Linked DNA regions of Daphnia pulex. The protein of the gene in region 2 purifies or fractionates together with the protein of the main gene of each other region. This does not show direct contact. Links are inferred from orthologs where the notes say so. Each region holds a gene or a part of one and is shown on either strand. Other genes may lie near its edges.

What was found.
Region 1: the proteins of splicing factor 3B subunit 2-like (region 2) and dnaJ homolog subfamily C member 8-like purify together in Homo sapiens (affinity purification with mass spectrometry; 3 studies listed by BioGRID and IntAct, with this or other methods). This does not show direct contact. The link is inferred for Daphnia pulex from reciprocal best matches to the Homo sapiens genes SF3B2 and DNAJC8.
Region 3: the proteins of splicing factor 3B subunit 2-like (region 2) and U2 snRNP-associated SURP motif-containing protein-like purify together in Homo sapiens (affinity purification with mass spectrometry; 3 studies listed by BioGRID and IntAct, with this or other methods). This does not show direct contact. The link is inferred for Daphnia pulex from reciprocal best matches to the Homo sapiens genes SF3B2 and U2SURP.

Annotation. Positions count from the first base shown.
Region 1 is NC_060019.1:13,008,827-13,015,691, forward strand, and holds dnaJ homolog subfamily C member 8-like, read right to left. Parts: upstream 4,358-6,865; 5' UTR 4,224-4,357; coding exon 4,128-4,223; intron 4,034-4,127; coding exon 3,875-4,033; intron 3,806-3,874; coding exon 3,739-3,805; intron 3,673-3,738; coding exon 3,578-3,672; intron 3,512-3,577; coding exon 3,441-3,511; intron 3,374-3,440; coding exon 3,097-3,373; 3' UTR 2,966-3,096; downstream 1-2,965. Other genes in the region: uncharacterized protein LOC124190211, read left to right, coding at 748-938, 1,009-1,193, 1,261-1,363, 1,430-1,591, 1,658-1,854, 1,926-2,134, 2,220-2,365; uncharacterized protein LOC124190213, read left to right, coding at 4,863-5,151, 5,208-6,199. UniProt on the Homo sapiens protein: Suppresses polyglutamine (polyQ) aggregation of ATXN3 in neuronal cells.
Region 2 is NC_060020.1:5,123,602-5,131,369, forward strand, and holds splicing factor 3B subunit 2-like, read left to right. Parts: upstream 1-2,716; 5' UTR 2,717-2,956; coding exon 2,957-3,197; intron 3,198-3,284; coding exon 3,285-3,931; intron 3,932-3,993; coding exon 3,994-4,337; intron 4,338-4,407; coding exon 4,408-4,612; intron 4,613-4,682; coding exon 4,683-4,933; intron 4,934-5,008; coding exon 5,009-5,127; intron 5,128-5,191; coding exon 5,192-5,352; intron 5,353-5,421; coding exon 5,422-5,493; 3' UTR 5,494-5,559; downstream 5,560-7,768. Other genes in the region: protein numb-like, read right to left, coding at 413-502; uncharacterized protein LOC124192101, read right to left, coding at 5,870-6,245, 6,322-6,454, 6,524-7,415, 7,478-7,768. UniProt on the Homo sapiens protein: Component of the 17S U2 SnRNP complex of the spliceosome, a large ribonucleoprotein complex that removes introns from transcribed pre-mRNAs.
Region 3 is NC_060023.1:3,568,967-3,576,734, reverse strand, and holds the start of U2 snRNP-associated SURP motif-containing protein-like, read right to left. Parts: upstream 4,028-7,768; 5' UTR 3,868-4,027; coding exon 3,793-3,867; intron 3,721-3,792; coding exon 3,627-3,720; intron 3,560-3,626; coding exon 3,373-3,559; intron 3,315-3,372; coding exon 3,187-3,314; intron 3,131-3,186; coding exon 3,057-3,130; intron 2,994-3,056; coding exon 2,828-2,993; intron 2,763-2,827; coding exon 2,599-2,762; intron 2,529-2,598; coding exon 2,469-2,528; intron 2,138-2,468; coding exon 2,094-2,137; intron 1,704-2,093; coding exon 1,599-1,703; intron 1,528-1,598; coding exon 1,412-1,527; intron 1,356-1,411; coding exon 1,241-1,355; intron 1,178-1,240; coding exon 1,015-1,177; intron 946-1,014; coding exon 679-945; intron 610-678; coding exon 492-609; intron 432-491; coding exon 309-431; intron 246-308; coding exon 1-245. Other genes in the region: phenoloxidase-activating factor 2-like, read left to right, coding at 5,844-6,027, 6,113-6,408, 6,479-6,628, 6,691-6,713, 6,793-6,894, 6,964-7,200, 7,281-7,324, 7,393-7,550 and 1 more.

The DNA.
Region 1 (6,865 bases), on a different chromosome or scaffold from region 2:
GACGCAATCTACTTGTTCTCCACTTTATTGATCAATCAAGATGTCCCCCCCCCCCTCTAGGAATAACAATTTCCGCTCATGCGCCCACGCTCTCTATCTCGGGTTATTGAAACCACCCGGGTTTTTTTCCTGTTTCTGGGTCTCTCGATTCGACACAAAAGGGTTCATGGGGAAAGGAGGTTGACCAACATGACAAATATCACGAAACGAAATAGGGCCCGCCCTTTTCCCGTTTTCAGACTTCAGTCTCAGCCATTTTGACAAAATGGAAGAAGAAGAAGAAAACCCCAAGTTGCGGTTTTGACGGGACCTGAATTCCGGGCGATTAGGTTTTTAGGCTCGGGAATTTGGTTTCCTGCACTGTAATAATGATAAATAATGCCGGGCAGTCAGAAATGGGTATCACGGAATCGTGTTAGTCTGTCGTGTTGGTGAAACACAAATGAAGTACGAAACGTTTTCCCTCGAGTCCCAAGCAAATTCTTCTCAGACCAGCAACTGGAAGGGATTTTTGATTAAATATTGCTGCTGCTGTTGCTTCAAAAAGGCAGCCGAGCCGGAAATTGTAACTATTCGCGTAAGGCCCCGAATAAAAGGAAAAAGTCATTCGTCTTCTGCTCGAAATAATCAACGACGTCATGGGGGTTATTTTAAGTATGTACTTGGTCGCGCTCAAATATCTAAACGTGCTACGTTCTACATCTACTAATTGAACGTTATTCTTTCCTTCTTGTTTTTTTTGTGCAGATGAGAGAAGAGAACCTTATTCGTCGAGTCCTTCCTTTGTTCGGGAGGGACTGCGGACGAGTGTAGCCAGCAGTGCGGCTAGCGGCGAGTCCTTCTCCAGTGTATCGGCCTCCGATACGCTGGACGATAGCGAATTGTCTGCTACTACAGTCAACAACAAGTCTCGCAGTGCATCACTGTCCGCACTTGGCGTAAGTTTCTCATTGATATTGATTACCAGCCGTTGACATCTCGATAAATTTCTAAACACAATATATATAGACTCGAAGCGATTCCATGGCCAGCGTCTACTCGGCTGCTGGCGAAGCCCGCTACGGCACAGTAGCTGTCCGTGGTGAGATTCAGTTTGGCCTACATTACAACTATCGCCAAACTGCCCTAGAGGTTTTCGTCAAACAGTGCAAAGACCTAGCACCTGTGGACACCAAACGAAACCGATCAGATCCGTAATGACAATAGCAATCAAGTTCCCTTATCACGAGTTGTCGTTTAACTGTTTTTCTAATCGAATAGGTATGCTAAAGTTTATTTGTTACCTGACCGTTCCAAGAGCGGTAAAAGAAAGACCAAAGTAAAAAAGCACACCCTATCACCAATGTTTGAAGAAAATTTAAAGGTAAGAGTTCGCCTGCTATTAAAGTATTTCAGACTATTTAAATAACCTTTTATTGTATTTTCTCAGTTTACCACCTCTCTTTCCGATTTGGAGAACCGAACACTATGGCTGACTGTCTGGCATAGTGACATGTTTGGTCGCAACGATTTCCTCGGTGAAATCACTTTACCACTTGCCGGGCGAATTTTTGACGACCCAACTCCCCATTGGTATCAACTTCAAGAAAGGGTAATTCATATCTAAAGAAACTTTTGTTGGATCTAGTATCTTTCATTGAACATTCTTTTGGTACAGTCTGAAATGGTAGAGGATCCTGGTGTCATGCCGTTCTACCGCGGCGACATGATTGTTGCGCTCAAGTACATTCCCGGTGAATCCTCTCCCACCAAAAGGACCAAGAAATCTAAAGGAGCTCTACACGTAATTGTTAAAGAGGCCAAGGGCCTCATCCCCGCCAGGCCCAACGGAAACATTGACGCATTGTGTAAAGGGTGAGAATCTGATAATGAAGTGGGAAACGGAAAAGGCTGGTCTATAATCCCAATGTAATTGTTCTTTTTAGGACCCTGATGCCCGAAAAGGGTAAAACGACCAAACACAAGACAAGCATTTGCCGTAGGACATCGAACCCCGTTTGGAATTGCACTTTCATTTTCGATGATGTTGCTCATCAGGAACTGAAAGAACGTGCCCTGGAATTGGATATTTGGAATCACGACCGGTTGGCTACAAAAGAGTTTCTCGGCGGACTCCGACTCAACCTTGGCACCGGTGAGAAATTTGGATAAAACTTTCTCAGTCGCCTTAGGTTTTTTTTTTTTTACTAAAATAATAATAATGTTGCAATTTCTTTTAGGTTTGTTCCAAGGAAAACCGGTCGAGTGGATGGACGCTAGCGGCAAAGAAGTGACGCTCTGGCAGAGTGTCGTTGAACGAGCCGGACTTTGGGTGGAGGGTTCCGTGCCCCTGCGCACAGCGATGGAGCGTCCATCTGGCGAGTGAAACGGCGACGCTACGGGTACATCGAAGCAAAACATATCCAGTCCACGAAGAGTTAACCCCTCCCAACTCCGTCACGCCGAAATAAGTGGACATGACAAAATTAGGCTTTAGAAGAAACGACGATTGAAATATTCCCCCGTGCGAAACATTCCATTCGCAAATAATGTGAAAAGACTAGACTGCATTCCGCGTCCATTATTCCGAAGCCTTAAATTAGAAAATGAAAAACAGCCTCAGCATTCGTCACACACAACTAAAACGAATAACGAGTGAATTGGCTATGCAACGTCGCGAGCTGTTTTTCCTTAATATTCAAGCCTGTTCTTGTTGTACATAATGATGCGAACATGTGGTCGTGCCATTTGCAATATCTTCAACTTCCATCCGTTTTTGCTATGACATTTACATTTCTACTTCCTAATGGAGAATTTATTCTCTCTTCTAACTGATGTTTTCGCCCCTTCAGTTCCCTCACCCTCAACTAGAAAAAACTTTTGTGCCCTTTATCCCGACGTGCGCTCTGTGATGGTGATGAATTTGTTTTTTTTTTCTCAGAATATATTTATGTAAATTTGTGCAATTCCATTGATAGATCTTTGATGTCATTTTACATTTTATTGATCTTTTTTGAGAAGATTTCTTTCAGTGCAAAGTAAGTCATATTAGTTTGTTTTTATCTTCGGTCGTACGAATTAGACAATTTTTAGAAAAGTGCGCGAGAATCCAACGTTTTAACGTTGCTCCATCTTATTTTTAGGAGGTTTGAAAAATCCCTTGGACGTTTTGGTTTTCTTGTGTTGAAATTTTTGCCAGCTGCTCACTCGCCCTTGGCGCGATTCTTCGAAGTTCTTTTGCCATTCTTTGTCCACCTTGGCCTTCTCTTCTGCCTCAATTTCAGTTTCCCTCTTGCGCTTCCTTTCCTCCATATCGCGTTGCTCCAATTCTCTTCGCTTTCGCTCCATGTCAGCGAAGAGCTTGATCGTCATCACATAGACCGCACGGCGGTATCTAGAAATGGATAATAAAGTAAGTGGATAACCTAAAACCCAAAGCAAAACAGAAAAATAGTTCATACTTGACTGGGTCATCTTCATCAATTCGTGTATCCTTTCCTTCTTTCTTCAGTTTTTTCCTTTTCTCGGAAATCTAATTTAAAATAGACAAATTGAATAACATGTAAATTTGATTAGATAATTGAAAGTAGATAATTACTGCAAGATCAGTCATTCCAGTGGCTTCCTCAACAATCTCCAAGCAACGTTTTCTGGTTTTATCATTTTCTAGAATTTTCCAGGCTCGGTTGATAACTACATGGAAAGAATTTATGTTGTTTGTATTTTTAATTTACAATTTAATGTTAAGGTTGTATTTACCTTCAAAGGCTTGTTGTGCACGATCTGCATCATCACTGTTTTTATCAGGGTGAACTAAAATGGATAGCTGGGTCATTCCAAAAACAAGATCAGAAACAGAAATTTCATAGCAATTCATTGGAAAATGTGTACCAACCCTCTTGTATTTCTTTTTAATTTCTTCTACAGGAAGTTCATGGTCAATTTGAAGCACTTCATAAGGGTTGAGATTAAAGTATGATGAACCAGCTCTTAGCAATCGATCAATTTGCTGCTTTGAAGTCAGAACAGAGTCACGTTTTTCAATTTGTTTGACCTGCAATCAAATAAAATGAACCAAAAGTTATGGAATATTCCACAAGTTTATCCTACTAAATATACATAATGAAAAACCATGCTAGATTGTTTACCTCTGTGTAAAACTCCTGAAAGCAATGTTCCACTTTACTGTGATCTAAATCGCTATTCATACTGCCGACCGAAGATTGGCTGTCTATTCCAGCCATTCAAAAGACAAATCTTTGTAAACAAAATTTTATTAAACTAACTAATGAAACGGAACCAAACTAAATTAATCTGTCAAACGATTTTAAGGGGATGGGAAGGCCACTACCAAGTACCAATGCCAAAGTTTAGAAATGCTCTAGTCACCAAATGCGCTACATCAAACGGATGAGACTGATTTATTTTTTAAATTCTTTCAGGCCTTTGCGATATTAGAAAATTTAAATCTACTAACAAGATACTATAATATTATACAAAAATACGAATTAAGTGAAATCAATTTTATAATATTAAACCCGACAAACGGTAACCGTTCGGTGCGCTTCGGTCGCAAGTCAAATGACGACAGTTGTCAGACGTTTCCATCTCTGTTGTTGTCATGGTGGAATGACAACGGCACGTGTTTTGTTTGTATTTGCTTGAACGAGAAATATTTTTTTTTTACTTACTTCACGAATCAAAGTGAAAAAACTTGTTCTCAAGATTTTAGGTTCTAAAGACCAGTCAAATAGTGAAAAAGGTATGCATTTCGTTCCTCGGCACTGCCCTTATCTGAATATTCTGAAATAATTTTCTCTGATTTACCTATCAGGTAGTAACAAAATCCTTTATGTTGATTCTTTTTGCACAAGTGCACTAAAATGCCAGCTAACTGCTGTGTGCCATACTGTGATACTGGTCATGTTAAAAATGGAAAGTTAATCAGACGAGCCATGTTTACAGCTCCTAAAAATGACATTCAGCGTGAAATGTGGGCAAGGATGATTCCAAGAAAAGGCACCCTGAATCCAACAGATAAAGTGTGTTCAATACATTTTGAAGAACATGACATTCACAAAGCAAATAAGTTTATCATTGAAGACAAAGAAGTTTTTCTCCCGATGCTTAATTGGAGGTTGAAACAAAATGCACTTCCTCGAATTTTTCCAGGTATTTGATAGCAAAGTGATGCTTTCTTGTGGTAGTTAACTTTTTCTTTTTTTTAGGATGCCCAAGTAACTTAAACAAATCACCTAAGAAGAGAAAACCTCCCAAGGATAGAAGCAAACCCTCAGTAAAATCAACAAAACTATCTCATGATTCTGTGATCCAGCAAGTATCAGTCACACAAGAAGCAGAAATGAATGGTTCTAATTCCCATCTAAACCTGGTTAATGACAACACAATATCATTACTGTTGCCTTTTCAATTCCCACCCCTTACCAACACCTATTTCAACAAAAAGAAAATTTCTAGTGAAGAGGAACACTCAACCGTAGCTCGCGAAGAATTGCCGTCTGAATCCTTGAACAACTTCTCTTCAAAATCGATTGATGTAAGTGATACTGACCAAGAAGAAGTTATCTTAAACTATATATCAGTTGAAATGAATCCAACGAATGACCGTCCATCATTCGCCAGTCTAATCAGATCTAACACACCAGTAGTGCGTAGTTTACCTCAGCCATTAATGGAGAAAGAAGAGGATATTCCCAGTAATGAAATTGAATTGAACTCGAATCAAGTTCAGGAGCGATCACAGGATATTCATGTAAACATAAGAGAAGTGCGACTTCCTTCTTTATCCTGGGCGTGGATTCAAGTTGAAATACCAAACCGTCCTTCGACAACTAACATGATCTGTGCTGAGAATGTGTATATTGCTGGGAAAGTTCATATTCGAAGAAGTGTAGAAATTGATTTACTCACTGGTGTCGCGTGTTACTCCCTATTTGGTGCATTTCTGGGTCTCGACTCATTGAATACGACATTTTCGTCAGAATCCGAACTATCAGAGTTGCTTCGATGCTACGGAGAAACTAAGTTGTGCCCTGGTTTGCCTGTTTCTCAATTTACTGGCCAGAAGATATCTCCGTTTTCGCTTGGATATCAAGATGGTCAAGTGCTGCGCTCGTCAAGATGTGCTGGAATAGAACCAAATTCCAATCCCTGTAATAACTGTCTATTATTGTTACCAAGAAAAAAGTCGACAGGATAAAGACTAAAGATTAATGAATCTTTATTAATCTTAAGTGGACTGGTACCTCATATAAAACATTGTATTAATCATACTGCTGTCATTACTGTGTCAAGAAATAACCCGCTAAAGTTATGTTCAAATCAAGCGCCGAATGGAAATTCTCTTAAAAACAAAAAAGATAACAATAAACTCAAGGATGGATACCATTTAAGATTTAAGCCACTTTCATTCAAAGTCGTTTGTATGTTTATTCTTTGGTTATTATGTCTTCGATGGATTCTGAACGTATTGAATTTGTGCACCTTCAGTTTATTTCCAGTTTTTTAAAGAACACCTTATTACAGTTATGTGTAATTCCAGACGAAAACCGTTTTCCCCAAACTTGAGGAAGATACCAAAAGCGGAGGCTTCGTCCCATCGAAAACGAGCAGCCTATCGGTGAGCGAGGTGTCAGAAGAAAAAAAAAACCTCGTGTTGAGCAAGGCTAGCACTAATCCAAATTGCATCTGCCACTCCTGATGCCACCGTCCCGGTAGTAATAGAAGGAAATCCTGTGACTACCGACCCCAACTAACAAATCACAATTTCTACTCAATAGTCGACCATCGAGGAAAAAGGGGTAGAGTCGTTGCTAATTTTTATCTACTAAATGTATTTTACGGAGATGGTTACGGGATGGTTATT
Region 2 (7,768 bases):
TCTTTCGACCGAATCTTGATTATTACCCAAAGAATAAACAGCAACTTGTGAGATAATAAAAGAATAGGGCATCTCCGTTCGGGAAACGACAGACACACACACACACGTGAAAAAGAAAAACATGGCAAGATCAAAGAGGAGGAGCTGGAGCCTCAGAGGAAAGGGGGGCGTGACGTCGCTTCACACGTCAGCTAACGCCAGAGGGCAACAGGTCATCGCTACGCCCCAGGTAAGACGCAACGTGTTACACGCTCCGAGACCCAACCTAGCCCACATTCCAATCTTTTTTAACCTTTTGCTTCCTCAACTAAAATTACCCGATACATTCTTAGAAAGTTTCCTTGATTCGACCAAATCGAGTTGGCCACGGTCAAATGTTAAGCAGGAATTAAAATATAAGAGACCCGATCACCTTGTCGATTTCATTGGCCACCGGAGCGATCGGATGGGTTACGGCCGATTCGAGCGGATCGTGCGGAAGAGCAGAATGGGCGTTGCCCATGTTTTGGTTTTTTTTTAAATTAAGATTTGGTGGTGCAATGTGTGCAAAATAAAATGTAAAAGAGTTTTTTGTTGGATATTTTGTAGATGAACGAAAAACTAGATGTGCATCAAGATCCGTGCGAATTAAATTCGTGCGTCGTCACACGGCCGGTTTCCATTACGCCGGCACCGGCGACCCGTAAAGTCAGAAAATAAGAGATATCCGCCCAGTTGCCATTCCGGTAAAACAGAAAGACGAGCAAATATTTCCGTCTTATTTCTTTGGGTTGCACAAACGATTCCGCACGTGCAAACACACGTCACACACAGTAGTCACAATCTAGTTCACTCTTAAAAAAGATCACACTCGGCCGTAAAACACAGAAACGAAATGGCGTAAAACGGACGCAAAACGTCTGTCCAGTTGAATCACGTCGGGAGGGAAATCGATGAGAACGACCGCGAAGCTGCTGGAGGAGCAGACTATAACAACAAGCGAACGTTCCCCAGCAAGGCGGACCATCAAAATGGCGCCCGTGACGTGAGAAACCCAAGCAAACTACTGCCAAAGAGTGGAATGTAGTCCCGACCAGGTATATAGACGCATGCGACCGTGGTTGGCTCCCTTCGTGTTGCCATAGGTATGTAACATGAGGCTTTGGCCTTCATGCTTGTTCAGCTCGAGGCCATCTTTGAACTCCCTCCTTCTTTTCTGTCTTTTCTTCTACCTTTTTACTGACTTATTTCTCTCTTCTTTCCAGCTAGACAAAAAAGGTAGCAGCCGATTCCTACAGTCTCGGGGTTAGCATCGAAAATAATAATAACAAGAGATGGGCTTCATCGAAATTGTTTTTTCCCGATGATGGCATCTATGGTGACGGATCACATCTCGTACGGGGGTTATTGCATACATGAATATGAATGGACCCGCAACAGAGGAGGTGAACGAACCACATGAGAGAGCCCTACGTCGTTGAAGGACACTTTGCTTTTATCAGTTAGTCCTGTGATACGTCCGGCAAACATCAACGTGATGTGGCCATCACTTTCTCTTTCATGTCATAGAAACCAACACGATATCAATGCAGGGCAAGGTAGATTACGTTCATGATTTACCTTTGTTCAAAGCCAGCCAAGGGTCGAATCAATAAATGAAGTTACCTCGTCTGCAAATGATATATCGATAAGCATGTCAGCAGACGGTTAGAGGACAAGGGTTGCTTAATAATCTACTGATAATAAATATACTACTACTAGCTGCAGCACACACACACACAATCTTCAAAGTGGGAAAAGCAACCAAATTGGTTAGTTTCTTGGCCTTGCGGTTGCACTGACCCTGGATCAACAATGCCCTATGGCGAAAAAGGCCGACTCTTTCACTCATCGTCAAAAAAAAGAAAAAATAAAACCGTAAACGTATATGAGAGACAAGGAGAGAAAAAGAAACGGTAATGGCTTCGTGGAAAGAATGTCAACGTGTATACGTAATGGCGTGAGAGTCTGAGAGAGACCTAGTGAAGTTGCTACACGGCCTGTGTGATGAAAGTCTCTTATCGATCCGGCTCACAGGCACATCTCACATCAGGGTTGTTGATAATGAAACTGATTTCTCTTTTAGCTTCTACCAACGTTTGATCGGTTCACCGACACCAAAAAATCTCAAGAGGGGTGAAATGGCCACACGCAACGTTTCTCATCAGATTTTACGAAAATGTGATTGTCGATGAGAATTTTCCCATCGAAAAACGATAATATCAAATAGGCTGGAAAAAACAATCTACAAAAGGTATGTACAAACGTAAAGGGGAGAGAACAAATGCCGTCGGTTTCACTTGATGCTGTAGACCTCTGGGCAGAGAGAAAACCAACCAAGACTGCCTTGAATGAGAAACTGAAAACAAGCCCCGACGAAAAGCCTGTCAACACACACCAAAACAGAATCGGCCAAACTTACCGGCCTCGCGATGAACTGGACGATCTCAATGAAAACAATACGTTCACAAACTAACTAATCACACCACTCCCACCGCTTTAGCAATACTCTCAGAGCACTTCGGTTTAAGAAACCGTTTTGACTGCAACTGCATCTCTCTCAGTGTGCCACCACAAAAAAAAATCATTTAAGATTCATCAGACTGCCATCTGGTGTTGATAGTGTGCACAAGCCTTTATTAAAAATTTAGGGCGCGTCGTGAACGCCATCTGCTGGTTTTCTGTGGTACCTCAATGAATATACGATTTGATCATGGCTTTTAGATTCGGCTTCATTTGGTCGTCGTTTACTCGCTTCACCCGTTTGGTTCTCTAACAAACTTGTTTTGCTATCGTGTTTCTTTCAAGGCAGTTTTAAATTAACGTAAAACTTCATCGTGTTTTACTTGGACGCGTCTATTTTGTCTATTGATTTGAAACACCCTTTTGATTGTGTGATTATTCTTTAGAAACAGAAAGTTATTTAGTTGAATTTGACATGGATCATCACATGCCGCCCGGCTACGGCCAGGAGAATTACATGTATGGAGATCCTTCAAGGTCCTTCCAGGGTAATGCTGTCGGTATGTATGGATCAGGTGCTAGACCGATGTCACCTCCTCCAGGTGATGAAGACATTCCCGCCCATGAACATCTCCCATCAGCACTTGAAGAAGTCCTTGCTTACAAAGAATACCGAGTACGAGAAACGGGCCACTCTGGAGAGGTTGATAACATTAGTGAGTAACACTTTTATAAATTTTCTAGTCTTCATGAAAGGTTTCGCTTGCAGGAATGAACTTTATTCTTTTCTATTTTTTTTTTAGTTAATGAAATCCCTGTCAAAACAGTTATAGAAACTGAAGGAACTATTGAAGAGAGGAAAGATGATTTCGGTGGGGAAGAAAACCTTGAAGAAAAAACTAAAACTCAAAGAAATCAAAAGAAGAAAAAGAAGAAGAAGCGCACTAAGAGACATCAACAGAAAGAAGAAGAAGAAGAAAATGAAAGGAATGATGATGCTGAAGAACCTCCACAAGTGGATATTGAGTATGTCCAGGAAGAAATCATTTATGACGACAAAAATCCTTTCTACCGACAGTTTGCCAAAATCTTCGAAGCATTTAAAATCATTGATGAAAAAACTGCAAAGAAAGCTGAAGAAGATGAAGCCAAAAAGAAAGAACTTCAAAGAAGTTTAGAACTTAAGAAGGTCCCCAAGTTTGCAGAAGAGGAAGATTTGGAGGAGAAAAAGGAAAATGCTGATGATGACAAGCCAAAAGTTTCAAAAAGAAAACTAAAACAACTTACTCGACTAAGTGTGGCCGATTTGAAGCAATGTGTTGCCAGACCAGACGTCGTAGAGATGCACGACGTTACTGCTAGAGACCCCAAACTGTTAGTTCTTTTGAAAGCAACCAGAAATTCGGTCCCAGTTCCTCGACATTGGTGTGCGAAGCGCAAGTACTTACAGGTATATTTTACTATGCACAAAGGGTAAACAATTCGTTTTAAACAAATTTTTTTGTACTTTAGGGAAAACGTGGAATAGAAAAGCCTCCTTTCAATTTGCCCGATTTCATCAAAAAGACCGGAATCATGGAAATGCGAGCTGCTTTGCAGGAAAAGGAAGAGTCAAAAACACTTAAAGCTAAAATGCGTGAGCGTGTTCGACCCAAGATGGGGCGTGTTGATATCGACTATCAAAAGTTGCATGACGCTTTCTTCAAATGGCAAACCAAACCCAAGATGACGATTATGGGTGATTTATACTATGAAGGAAAAGAATTTGAAACTCGAATGAAAGACAAAAAACCCGGAGAGTTGTCTGACGAACTGCGAACTGCTCTCGGAATGCCTGTTGGTCCTAGTTCAAACAAGTAAGAATCTATTCTTAATTTGACACCGTTTTGTGTTACAGTAGTTAATGTTAATGGCGTTTTCTTTAAGAATTCCTCCTCCTTGGTTGATTGCCATGCAAAGATATGGTCCACCACCGTCTTACCCTAACTTGAAGATTCCAGGATTGAACGCTCCAATTCCTGATGGTTCTTCCTTTGGCTACCATGCCGGAGGTTGGGGAAAACCTCCTGTCGATGAATTCGGGCGGCCTCTGTACGGCGATGTTTTTGGATTGACTGGAATCGCAGGCGATGTAAGAAAATATCTCATACTCTGTGTATAACAAATTCTATTAACCACGAATACTTTTGCCTCTTTTTCAGACAATTTTACTCGACGAAGAAGTTGATCGTACCTTGTGGGGTGAACTTGAATCGGAAGAAGAGGAGGAGGAAGTTGAGGAGAGTGAAGAGGAAGAAGGAGAGGACGAAGAAGGCGCCATTGATCAATCAGGTCTGGTTACTCCTGCAGAAGGACTTGCTACTCCTTCGGGATTCTCATCTGTACCTGCTGGTCTGGAAACACCAGATATGATTGAGCTACGAAAGAAAAAGATTGAAGCAGAGATGGAGAGGTATGTAACCAGTGTCAACTACTATACAACTGCTACTTTACATTTTTAATTATTCCTATTTTCACTCTTATTTAGTAACGAAACGCCTCAGCTGTATACCGTCCTTCCAGAAAAGCGAACGGACAGAATCGGTCAAGCGATGATGGGATCTACCCATGTATATGATATCGCTTCAGCTACGACCACTCAGAAGAGTAAGATTTGTCATTTTTTAGTTAATTTGTTGTTATTATGATTTTTCAATTAAATTTTTCATAGGTAGTGGTGGTGTGGAACTTAGTTTGGATCCCTCCGAGTTGGAAGGTTTGGACTCTGAATCAATGGCCGCTCGTTATGAACAAACATTGCGGGAGCAACAAGGCAACTTGGCTAAGGAAGATTTCAGTGACATGGTGGCTGAACATGCCGCCAAGCAGAAGGTAAGTCGTAAATCCAAATCAGTGATTATTAACTTGATTAATAAAATGTTTTCGTAATTGCAAAAACAGAGCAAGAGAAAGAGACAACAACAACAGACGGACACTAAACAGGCCAAGAAATACAAAGAGTTCAAATTTTAACATCCCTTTTGAAGCATTAAAAATCTTGTAATACACGCTCCGTTGTAATAAACAATTTGTTCTTAATTGTGTTTTTGAAACTATTTTTATTAGATACCGCCACATATCTCCTCCACACACAAAAGAAGAAATTCCGGTACAGCATGTTTGTATTAACTATATAGCATTAAACTACAGAATAGGTTATTTTATTTCCTTATTATGTTTGGTATGTTGCAACAGAATCGTCAAGAATTGCAGCAGTCATCGTGCTTTTGGAAGGTAAAAAAACGAAACACATGCTGATGGAAAGTCGTATAAAATATTATTAGCCAGTATTGCACTCTAACCTTGATTTCGTCTAATGACTAGTATTATAACAGGTTGCACAAGGTATCTAATTTGACTGATGATTCCAATTCAACGGCGAAGTTTCCTCGTATGAGCAAGAAAATTGGGCTGCTCCTATGGCCGAATGCTTGAACGGTTGATCAACATCCTGCATGCTAACGATCCCAGATCCTGAGGCACCCAAATCAACGTTCTGATGTTGACTGTGTCTTAATAACAAAGATGAGAAATCGTAACTACTGCTTGTTGTAGGACGGATATCGCTCGATGTTGAAGCTCCATTAGAAGAAGTAGATAACAACCCCATAGAACGCCAGGATGGTAAGGGATCCAGAGAAAAGTTGGTTGCTTCAAAATCAACTGTACTACCAGGAGGAGACGCCAATAAGAATTGCAAATGACGAATGTATTTGATAGCCAACCTGAAAAAAAAGGAAAAAGGTTAATCCAGGTTTTAAGCGAATGTTTATTGCTCATAAACGATTAAGCCAAAACAACCTGAGGGATTCGATTTTCGACAATTTTTTCCCTGGTGGTTTGATGTACGGTAATTTTTCACGTAGAGAATCGAATGCTCGATTCATATCTCGCATACGCGTCCGTTCCCGATCGCATGCCGATTTCTTGTAATCTAATAGCAAAATGAAAAATAATTTAATAGCTTGAATTTATTTAGACTATAGACGATGGGCCTTCAGACCTTTTTCATACTGAGCTCTGCTGCTATTGGAACCTCTCCAACAACGACTGGGATTTGGATAACGCTCAATGCTGACGGCATGTTGAAGTAGTTCTTCATTTTCAAAATCTGCTGCCATGAAAACGTCTCCTTCTTGCACTTGACCCAATCTGAGTCCAGTTGATCCTGGCATGCTGGTACGATCCGCTATAACGCTCCCGCGGGCTGAACAGCCTTCTGGAACCCAAATTCGTCGATTATTGGTATCTAGGTGGTAAAGCGGGTTAGATCCAGGTATCGACAAAGATTTGAACGGATCTTCCATCAACATGAACGACGGGTGAGAATATTCCAAATGGGTGTTTTCTGTTGACATCATTGGAAAATGGCATGGTGAGCCAAGTTGCTGATGAGACGATGGAAGACCAAAATGAGCTTGAGCTTCTTCGTGAGCGTTGGACATCCAACACGACGGGTTGAAATTGAGCATGTTTGGGATAAGAGTTAGACTGTTAGCGCTTTCACCGGAGGTGTCCGGCACCTCACCATCGTAATGGGTGATGGTGGGCAGATTACAAGAGGCCAAAGTCACGTAACGTGTTGGTGATTGATGTTGGTCATCGAGATATGAATTTTCCAATTCTTCTTTATCTTCTATTAGAGATCCATTCTTGAAAAGTTCATTGTCTTCATTTACTTCCACGAAGTTAGAAGGCGGTTCCAACAAAAGATCTTTCCGAAGTTCCAAATTTCCTCTCGATTCCCTTTCGTCCTCTCTAAAAATAGCATCAGGTTTAAAGACGATGACACTGGTTTCTTTAATTTCATTAATAGAGTCCTCCGGAGACTGTGTCACTGATTGATCATAGTTGATTTCGTCCAGAACAGAAGATGGCATCGTCAAATCCTCTGCCTAATCAAAATTAATATTTTACATTGATGAAGTCTCTCACACACACGATTTTAATGCCATACCGTATCTGAATGAAAAATTGGTACCTCCACAACTTGACCATCTTTATGAAGCTCGATATTGAAATGCTCAGAAACTTGTCCGCTGGGAATCTGAATAACGCTTCCAGCCGATGCTGGAATCCAGTGAATTACCTCCACGGCTCCTTCTCGTTCTGTAGTCTTTGATGTGGAGACACCGTCGGTTTGACTATCTTCTGACAATGAATTACATTCCGCTCTCGTATCAACGATTTTCTTCTCTTTCTTTTTTCCTTGCATTTTCCGCGGTGAAGAACGATTCTTTTGGTAGCG
Region 3 (7,768 bases), on a different chromosome or scaffold from region 2:
TCCTCTTTGTTTAGTGCTCTCCAGATCCGCAAAGATGTCCTCATTATGTTTGGCTCTACTCTTTTTTCTTGACGGCTCATTTGACTCTGAATCGGGGTCGATATTGTCCCACTTGCTAGTGGCTACAACCGGCGCCGGTGTTTCCCATTTGGAAGTTGATGATGACTTAGTTTCACGTCTCCGGTCTCTTCGCACTACCGGTGAAGACGAGCTTTTTATCGGGACTCCGTCCAAATCTTCAGACACTAATAACATTTATAAAAATTTTAATAGGTGAATTAATTAATTATTATAAAAATCAATTTTACTAGGCACTCCATCAAAATCAGCGTCATATTTGTTTGATTTCGTAACTGTAAATGAACGAGCTGGAGAACTAGTTTGGAGTTTGACTGCACTCCTCAAAAGAGCCGCACCGTCCAAAGGTACACCTGAAAAAAGAAAAAATTATTAAATTACTTGTACTTCAAAAACTTGTATTTGAAATAAACCATCCAAATCTTCGGAATCACTGAGTGGAGCTCCGTCGATTGCTTCTGCATCGTCAAGTGGAATGCCGTCGACGTCTTCAACGTTGCCTGAAGTCCGTTGAGAAACATCTTGATCGGCCTTTAAAGAAATCAAAATAATTAATGAAGTGTTGGAAAGATTTAAAAATAGAAAAAAAAAAAAACTTACAGAGACAAGGCCCAGAAAGACATTTTGCAAATGAATGAGGAATTCGGCTGGATAGACATTCCATTCTTCCCAAGCTCGAAAGCAGAGCATAACTCGTTGTCGAAAAGCTTCGGCTTTCAATCGGCTCTCGGTCGCCTCGTACGCTTGATGCATATAATTGACTATTTCCACCATGTGTGACTGGAATCCCGAACGGAAACTGGAAGCATTGACCGCCTTTGCAGACGAGTTGTAAAGGACGTCTGATACCAAAAAAAATCTTCCCAACTGAAAAAAACAAAAACAAGATTAAATTAAGTAGGTTTCTTCCAACTTGGAAGTCACGACTTAAATTACCTTTTGAGGAATATAGGTTTTGACACTATTGAGTGACTCGGTAACGAAATCGATGATTTCCTCGTAAGCTTCGGCGTGCTCGATGCAAAAAATCATAGCTTCCGCTACTTTGGATTTTTCAGGAGTCAATTTTCTCAACATCAATTCTAGTCGTTTCTTTTGACTATGGATTTGAACGTAAATTAGAATTGCTTAATGAATTAGAAAAAATAATTGTAGTAAATACGATTTGCTGAGCGATCGTCGGCGACTCTCATCATCTTCCTCGTCGGACGAGAAAAGTTCGTCTGGCATGCCCTCAGAAAACGGGTTCATAGACGGGGGTTTCCAGATGGAACCGCCTATTAATTTTTAAAAATGAGCGCTGGATAATTTACAGAATAAAAAGAAATTTTACCTTTAAACATGCGAAAGTCTTCTGTGGACCACACATTACCAGACTCGCCTTGTAGGATTGAGAACAATTTCCAGCGATAGTAAATGTGAGCTGGACTCCGGTTTTCAAATAGAAACCTGATTGCAAAAGTAAAAAAGAAATAATAATTACTATCCAACAACATTTTTAGAAAAGACAATTTAGGTACCTGAATTGCTGGTTATCAATTTCCTTGTTCATCACCATGGCCTCAAGCATTGGGCCCTCTCGAACAACAGATTCGATCATTCGATGAATCAAACACAACAAATTTCTGTGTACGCCAGTTCCAGAAAACCAAGTTCAACATACGTATGACACGCACAAATGTCAATCGTACAGATTTACGTGGTGATAAAAATGAAAATGTTAAGATTAGCTACCGACTTAAAAAATTTTGTTCGATGATTTAAAAGAAGTGGGTCAATTGAAAAAGCAAAATTTCTTTCTTTTTTTTTTTGGTCAAGCATTCCGAGTGTTAGTTAAAAGTTTACAAAGGAATTAAATAAGACTTAAGGAATAGTCGCATTGGAAGAATGAAAAGAACAATGTGTTGTTCCTTCGTGACAAAACGTGTATACTCCCTGGGGCTCGGAGGGAGCAGGGTAATGTCACACAGCCGCGCAGCTTCAAGGTATTATGAGGCTTGATCTTTGTTACATACCTGTCTGTAGGGATAACCACTTTGACAACAGCCCTGGATATAATCTGCGAGAGAAGCAGCAAACCCGGGTGAAACATCAACATATTTCCAAACACACAATAGTATGAGAGCAGTGAGACACGAACAACGGTCTTCACTAGCCAAACGAATGCAACGCATGAAAACAAATTTTTGGCTGGGTTTCATCGCTTTCCGCCGAAGAACACAAATAGAAAAGATGAGACCTCCCAACGAAGCGACCGCACACAAAGCACTCGCTTCTTTTTATCCGCCGACCATGAGTAACAATGCCGGAACAGGCGGATAAAAAGTCTCGAGTCTTGTGTCAGTCATATTGCTGGGTTGATTGAAATAGCTTAGCCCATCCCCCAATACCTTGTTGAAGTTCTCCAACGCCTCGCCGTGTGTTGGGTAGGGTGTTCCGGGTGGCGGGATCTGTGACAAGGGAAATATTAATTTCAATTATGTTTGAAAGAACATCTAAGGTACTGCATACCAGCCATACCTGATCAATATCTTGTGGGGAGGGTATTGCATTAAAAGGCAAGCCGGTTGGTGGTGGAGGAAGCGTTTTTTCAAGTAATGCTGGCGGTATGTAAATCGGTCGAGCAGGAATTGGCAAGGCCTTCCCCCATCCGAGTTTCATTTCAAAAGACAGAATATCTTTACCTGTTGAAAAATAAACATTTGATATAAATGCATCGATGCAAAAAACGGAATATAAACTGTCAAACCGTTTAATTTTTTCATCGCTCTCTCTGCGTCTTTTCGGCACATAAAGGCTACGAATCCGCAATTTCGATTCCTTGCTTTCTCTTCCTCAGTTCGAGGCCACATGATTTTTACGCTGGCTAAAGGTCCATATTTTCCAAATGTGTCCATCAATTGTTGTTCTGTCATCTGCAAGGGACATTAAATTTATGTTAATAAAGTTGATAAAAACATGATTTATTTAAAACTTGCCTTAGGGTTGATATTGCCTAAATAAATGTTAGTGGTATTGGGATCTCCTACATCAAATGATCCTGTCTTTTCTTCTGAAACAAAAAAAGTGTGACAAATTTGCTACAAAATGCAATTACAATTTACATACCTATCAAGATTGATCCAAGAGCAAGAGAGCTTTTGCTAGTACTTGGAGAACTCACATTGACAGGCTCAAAGCGACTTGGTTTCAAGTGAGCTTTAACTTTGTGTCGTTCCTCTCTTTCTTCTTGGATACTGTAAGAAAATTTAATTGTAACATTATTTTTTAAATAAGAGAATAATCTAGTTTTACACTCTGAGTTCCTCTTTGAACATCTCAAGATTGCTCTTTTTCTTCTCCTTTTTTTGTAAACTTTTATCTTTTGATTCTTTAGATTCCTTAGATTCATTTGCCTTGGATCTTGTGGAGAAAGATTCTGCTAAGCTCGCCAATTTAGATGTTGGTTTATACAATTTGCCTTTATCTTTGGCATCTTCCTCTGCAAATTAAAATGAAAATATTAAGAAAAATGGCTATATTATAGCATTAAATGTGTAATCTGTTACTTCTTTGACCAGCATCATAGGTACCCGCTTTGACCCAAACTTTACTGACTTTGCTGGCATCTTCTTGAAATGTGGCTACAAACTCCTCAAATACCTAATAATAAATCCAATGAACAATAATATTGAATTATTTGAAGTTCAGCTTCTCCAAACAAATGTGTATCACCTCAGCAGCAGCTTCAATTTCTTCGCGCTTCTTGATTTCTTCGAGTTCTTTACGAGACAGTCCTCTTTTGGCCATTTTGACACAATACACTAATGTTGCAAGAATGTTAAAAAGAAGTTGAGTATCTTCTTATAATTTCACGTCATAGAAGGTTTAATTATATTTCGATCAATCCATCCCACAAGCACTTCATACTATTTCAGCCGATTCCAGCTCGCATCGGCCAAAACAGCGATGCCAATCATTATTATTTTTCTTTTTTGGTCGAGGAATAACATAACACAGAATCAGATCGGCCAATCGGCACATCGCCAACATGAGTCATGAGTATATGAATATGACAACTAAAATTTCGTTGATTTTCGCGTTAGGAAAAAAACATGTAGTATATGTCGTAAAACTGCACCCAATTGTCACAAATGTTTATTACATTGTGTAACAGGCGAGGCCGGCAGTCAGTAGGATCAAATCTGGTGGAGAAGAAAATGCGCATGAGGGCAACACGCGAGCCATCGGCCCCAAAACATGTAAAATTTGTTACAGCCTTATTACAGGGATGATAAATTCCATTGTTTGATGTCACCGTGAAATTGAATGGACTCCAATATCGTCGTATTCCATTGTCGAATCTTTCTTGATTATTCTTGCATAAAATTGCGTTTAAACATTATTACAGAAAGGAACAAGAAATCACAATTTATTGTATAGCGAAAGTCCCAAAAATATTCAACATCACCACTTTTTGTTACTAGGGTAATTTAAAATCAGAAGAAATTATAATGGAATCACCGTAAAATTTTTCCTAATTTAATACTCATTATCCCTAAAGTTTCATTGTTTTACACAATAACTGTTTAATAGCGGAAGTTTTCACTAATACCTCGTTAAATATAACGTTATGTTCTGTTAATTGTACTAATTGTAAATTTCCGTGCATGGCCTAAGTCCCGGCCGAAACAAAACAGATCCACATGAAAGGGTTTTCCAACTTATATAATATACATGCTTACAGAACATCAAAAGCATTCCGTTATTTTGTTATTTCTAGTTTGGGAAATTTTCATTTTGGGTACAACTCGATAGTGACGTTGGGTTTTTCCATATTACATTGCAGTTTTGGCTAGTATATGCATGTATCGTGTATCCTAATTTCCCTTTCCATTATCCCTGAATACAATAAAAGAACGACATTTTTTTCTATGCACGTGTCAAATGAATGGGAAATTTTGATTACAAAACGAATTAACTATTGTGTGTCGAAATTCATACAGCTCATTCAGGTAACCCAAAACTTATCTAATCTTGCAATTAACGAACAATTTTGCTCTATTGCTCATATATTCTCTCCCAAAATTTTTTTTTAAACTTAAATTTAAAACAATTCCGCCAAATTTTTTTTTTTTGCTGATGACCGGTTGATGGCTCTACACTTGGGTTTGCGGTGCCAAGGTGTGTTAGCAGAAGCTAAAAAAGACCTTGAGCTTGACTGACTGCTTTCTCTCCAAAAAATAGCCTTGAGGAAAAAACTGGGGAAGGATGAGGGGAAACCGGAGAACCTCAAACTATAAAGCGATAATATTGATTCGAAATATACGCATGCAGCCTAATGCAACTACAACAAATAGTAAAGCAAATGCCATATGGAAATGACTCGTCATTTAGCTATTGGCACATCCGGTTGATGATAACAAAGGCTTTATAAGTGAACCGCACACATGGTTGAACAACCTAAATTAAATCACCTGATGAGCCGAGAGGGAAAAAAAATAACGTGTACACTCACCTTGGGAAATCCCGACAAAGTCACGTGACCCTCCAACTGAAAAACCAGTTTCTATTGGTTCCAGGAGTTGGTAACTAGCTGGTCTCTTGTGTTAACAGTGTGTGCTGGAGGATAAATCAGCCAGTATATAAAGCAACAGCCAGAGTCAGATCATTCAACAAGTTTCTTCTAAGAGAACTTGAACTCGAGGTAAGACAACTTTAAGTGCTAAATATCTTTTTTAAAAATTATTAACAACAACATTTTCATAATCATTTATTTAGACAGAATGAAAGTAAGTGCTGCGTTAGTATTCGTTGTCTTTGTGTCGTCGGTGGTAGCCAAGCCACAAATTTCATTTGGGGAAGAGGAAGAGCCAGTTCCTGTAGATTTACCCAACACGTCTGTAGATGCGTTGGGTACTGACGATGAGTTGGTCCACACTCGTCTAGGTCTTCTCGCCGGCTATCTCAGTAAATTAATAATTTGATTTCCCATTTTTCGTTTATGAGATAGTACGAATTCTATAAGCCTAATTTAATATGTTTTTATTTGTAGATCTAGAAGCTGTCCCCGGTTCAGCTCCTATTGGTGAACAGAAGAAAGATCCAGCTCTAAAACCCAATCCTTACATTCCCGAAGAAGATGTTTCTGGAAAACAGTCTGGTCAGTGCTTGTGCGTTCCTGTAGGGAAATGCGCCAATCCTGCACCGGGAAATATTCCTCTTCCACCACCTGGCTCCGGACCACTCCCTCCCCCACCCATACCTGGACATTCGCAACCTCCCCCTAACAATATCCCACCTGTCAATACGGACGGTGCCGGCCTCATCGACGTGCGCATCGTCAATAAGGTAAGCGAGAATATTAAATTCTAGACAGAGGAATAAAAACGGTTATTGTAAGAATCTGTTCAATTTTTAGCCAGCTGGAGTTCGTTGCCAGAATTCATTCCAATATTGCTGCGTCGCAAATAATCCATTCCCTGTTGCTCCACCTGCTGCCCCAGTGCAAGGAAGTTGCGGACGATCAAATATTATCCCTACTCCTGGATACAATTTAGACACTACTCAGGTAATAACTGATCAGTAATGATTTATCAGAAATTTGAAAACTATAACTATTTTTCTCTTTAGGCTAAATTTGGCGAATTCCCATGGTGAGAAAGCATTCCTTCAATTACAAAGGAGTATGATGTTATAAAGAAAATGTTGATTAATTGTTTATTTTCCCTGTAGGATGGTTGTTATTTTAGGTCCAAACAACAACTATGTCGGAGGTGGTGTGTTGGTCAGCCCTCGACACGTTGTTACAGCCGCCCACAAAGTCGCTAACTTTGGGTAAGAATTTTGATTAAAATTTGATATGCTAAAATTCTGACTGACTCTTTTCTTTTCTAAAATTTATAGTGCTGGAACTGGCCTGAAGGTTAGGCTAGGAGAATGGGACGCTAAAGCTAATGTCGAGCCTCTGAAATACGTCGAATTGGGCGTAACCCGCGTCAAAGTGAATCCATTTTTCAACCGTGCCAACCTGCAGAACGACATCGCTGTTTTGACTTTAGAGCAGCCAGTCAATTTGGCCTCAACACCTCACATCAACCCAGTTTGCCCATCAAATTTCCAAGCCAACTATGTTGGCAGAAGGTATGTAACGAAGAGTTATTGAAGATAACTGACTTCGATAAAAATGGATTTTAATTTTGATATTTTTTAATAACTAACAGATGTTGGGTGACCGGATGGGGCAAAGACGCATTTGGACCACCAGGTAAATTTTTTGAGTTTTAAAATTCAGTTAAAGTTCAAATTTTTTAAATGTTCTGGTTATTTGATTAGGAAATTTCCAATATATCTTGAAGAAAGTTGATGTCCCAGTTTTGGATGCCAACGATTGCGAACAGCGTCTCCGAAGAACTCGCCTTGGTCCTCATTTCCAGCTAAGCCGATCAAGTTTCGTGTGTGCTGGTGGTGAACAAGGAAAAGACGCTTGCACGGTAATTATAATTGATACTTTGAACGATAAAATATCGACAGCCTTCTTACGTGATTTTATTGTGTTTAGGGCGATGGCGGCTCACCTTTGGTCTGCGAGGTGAACGGAAGAGCTGAGCTCGTTGGACTCGTCGCTTGGGGAATTGGATGTGCCGAACAAAGTCTACCCGGTGTCTACGTAAACGTCCGAAGTTTTGCTGATTGGTTGAATTCCGAGCTC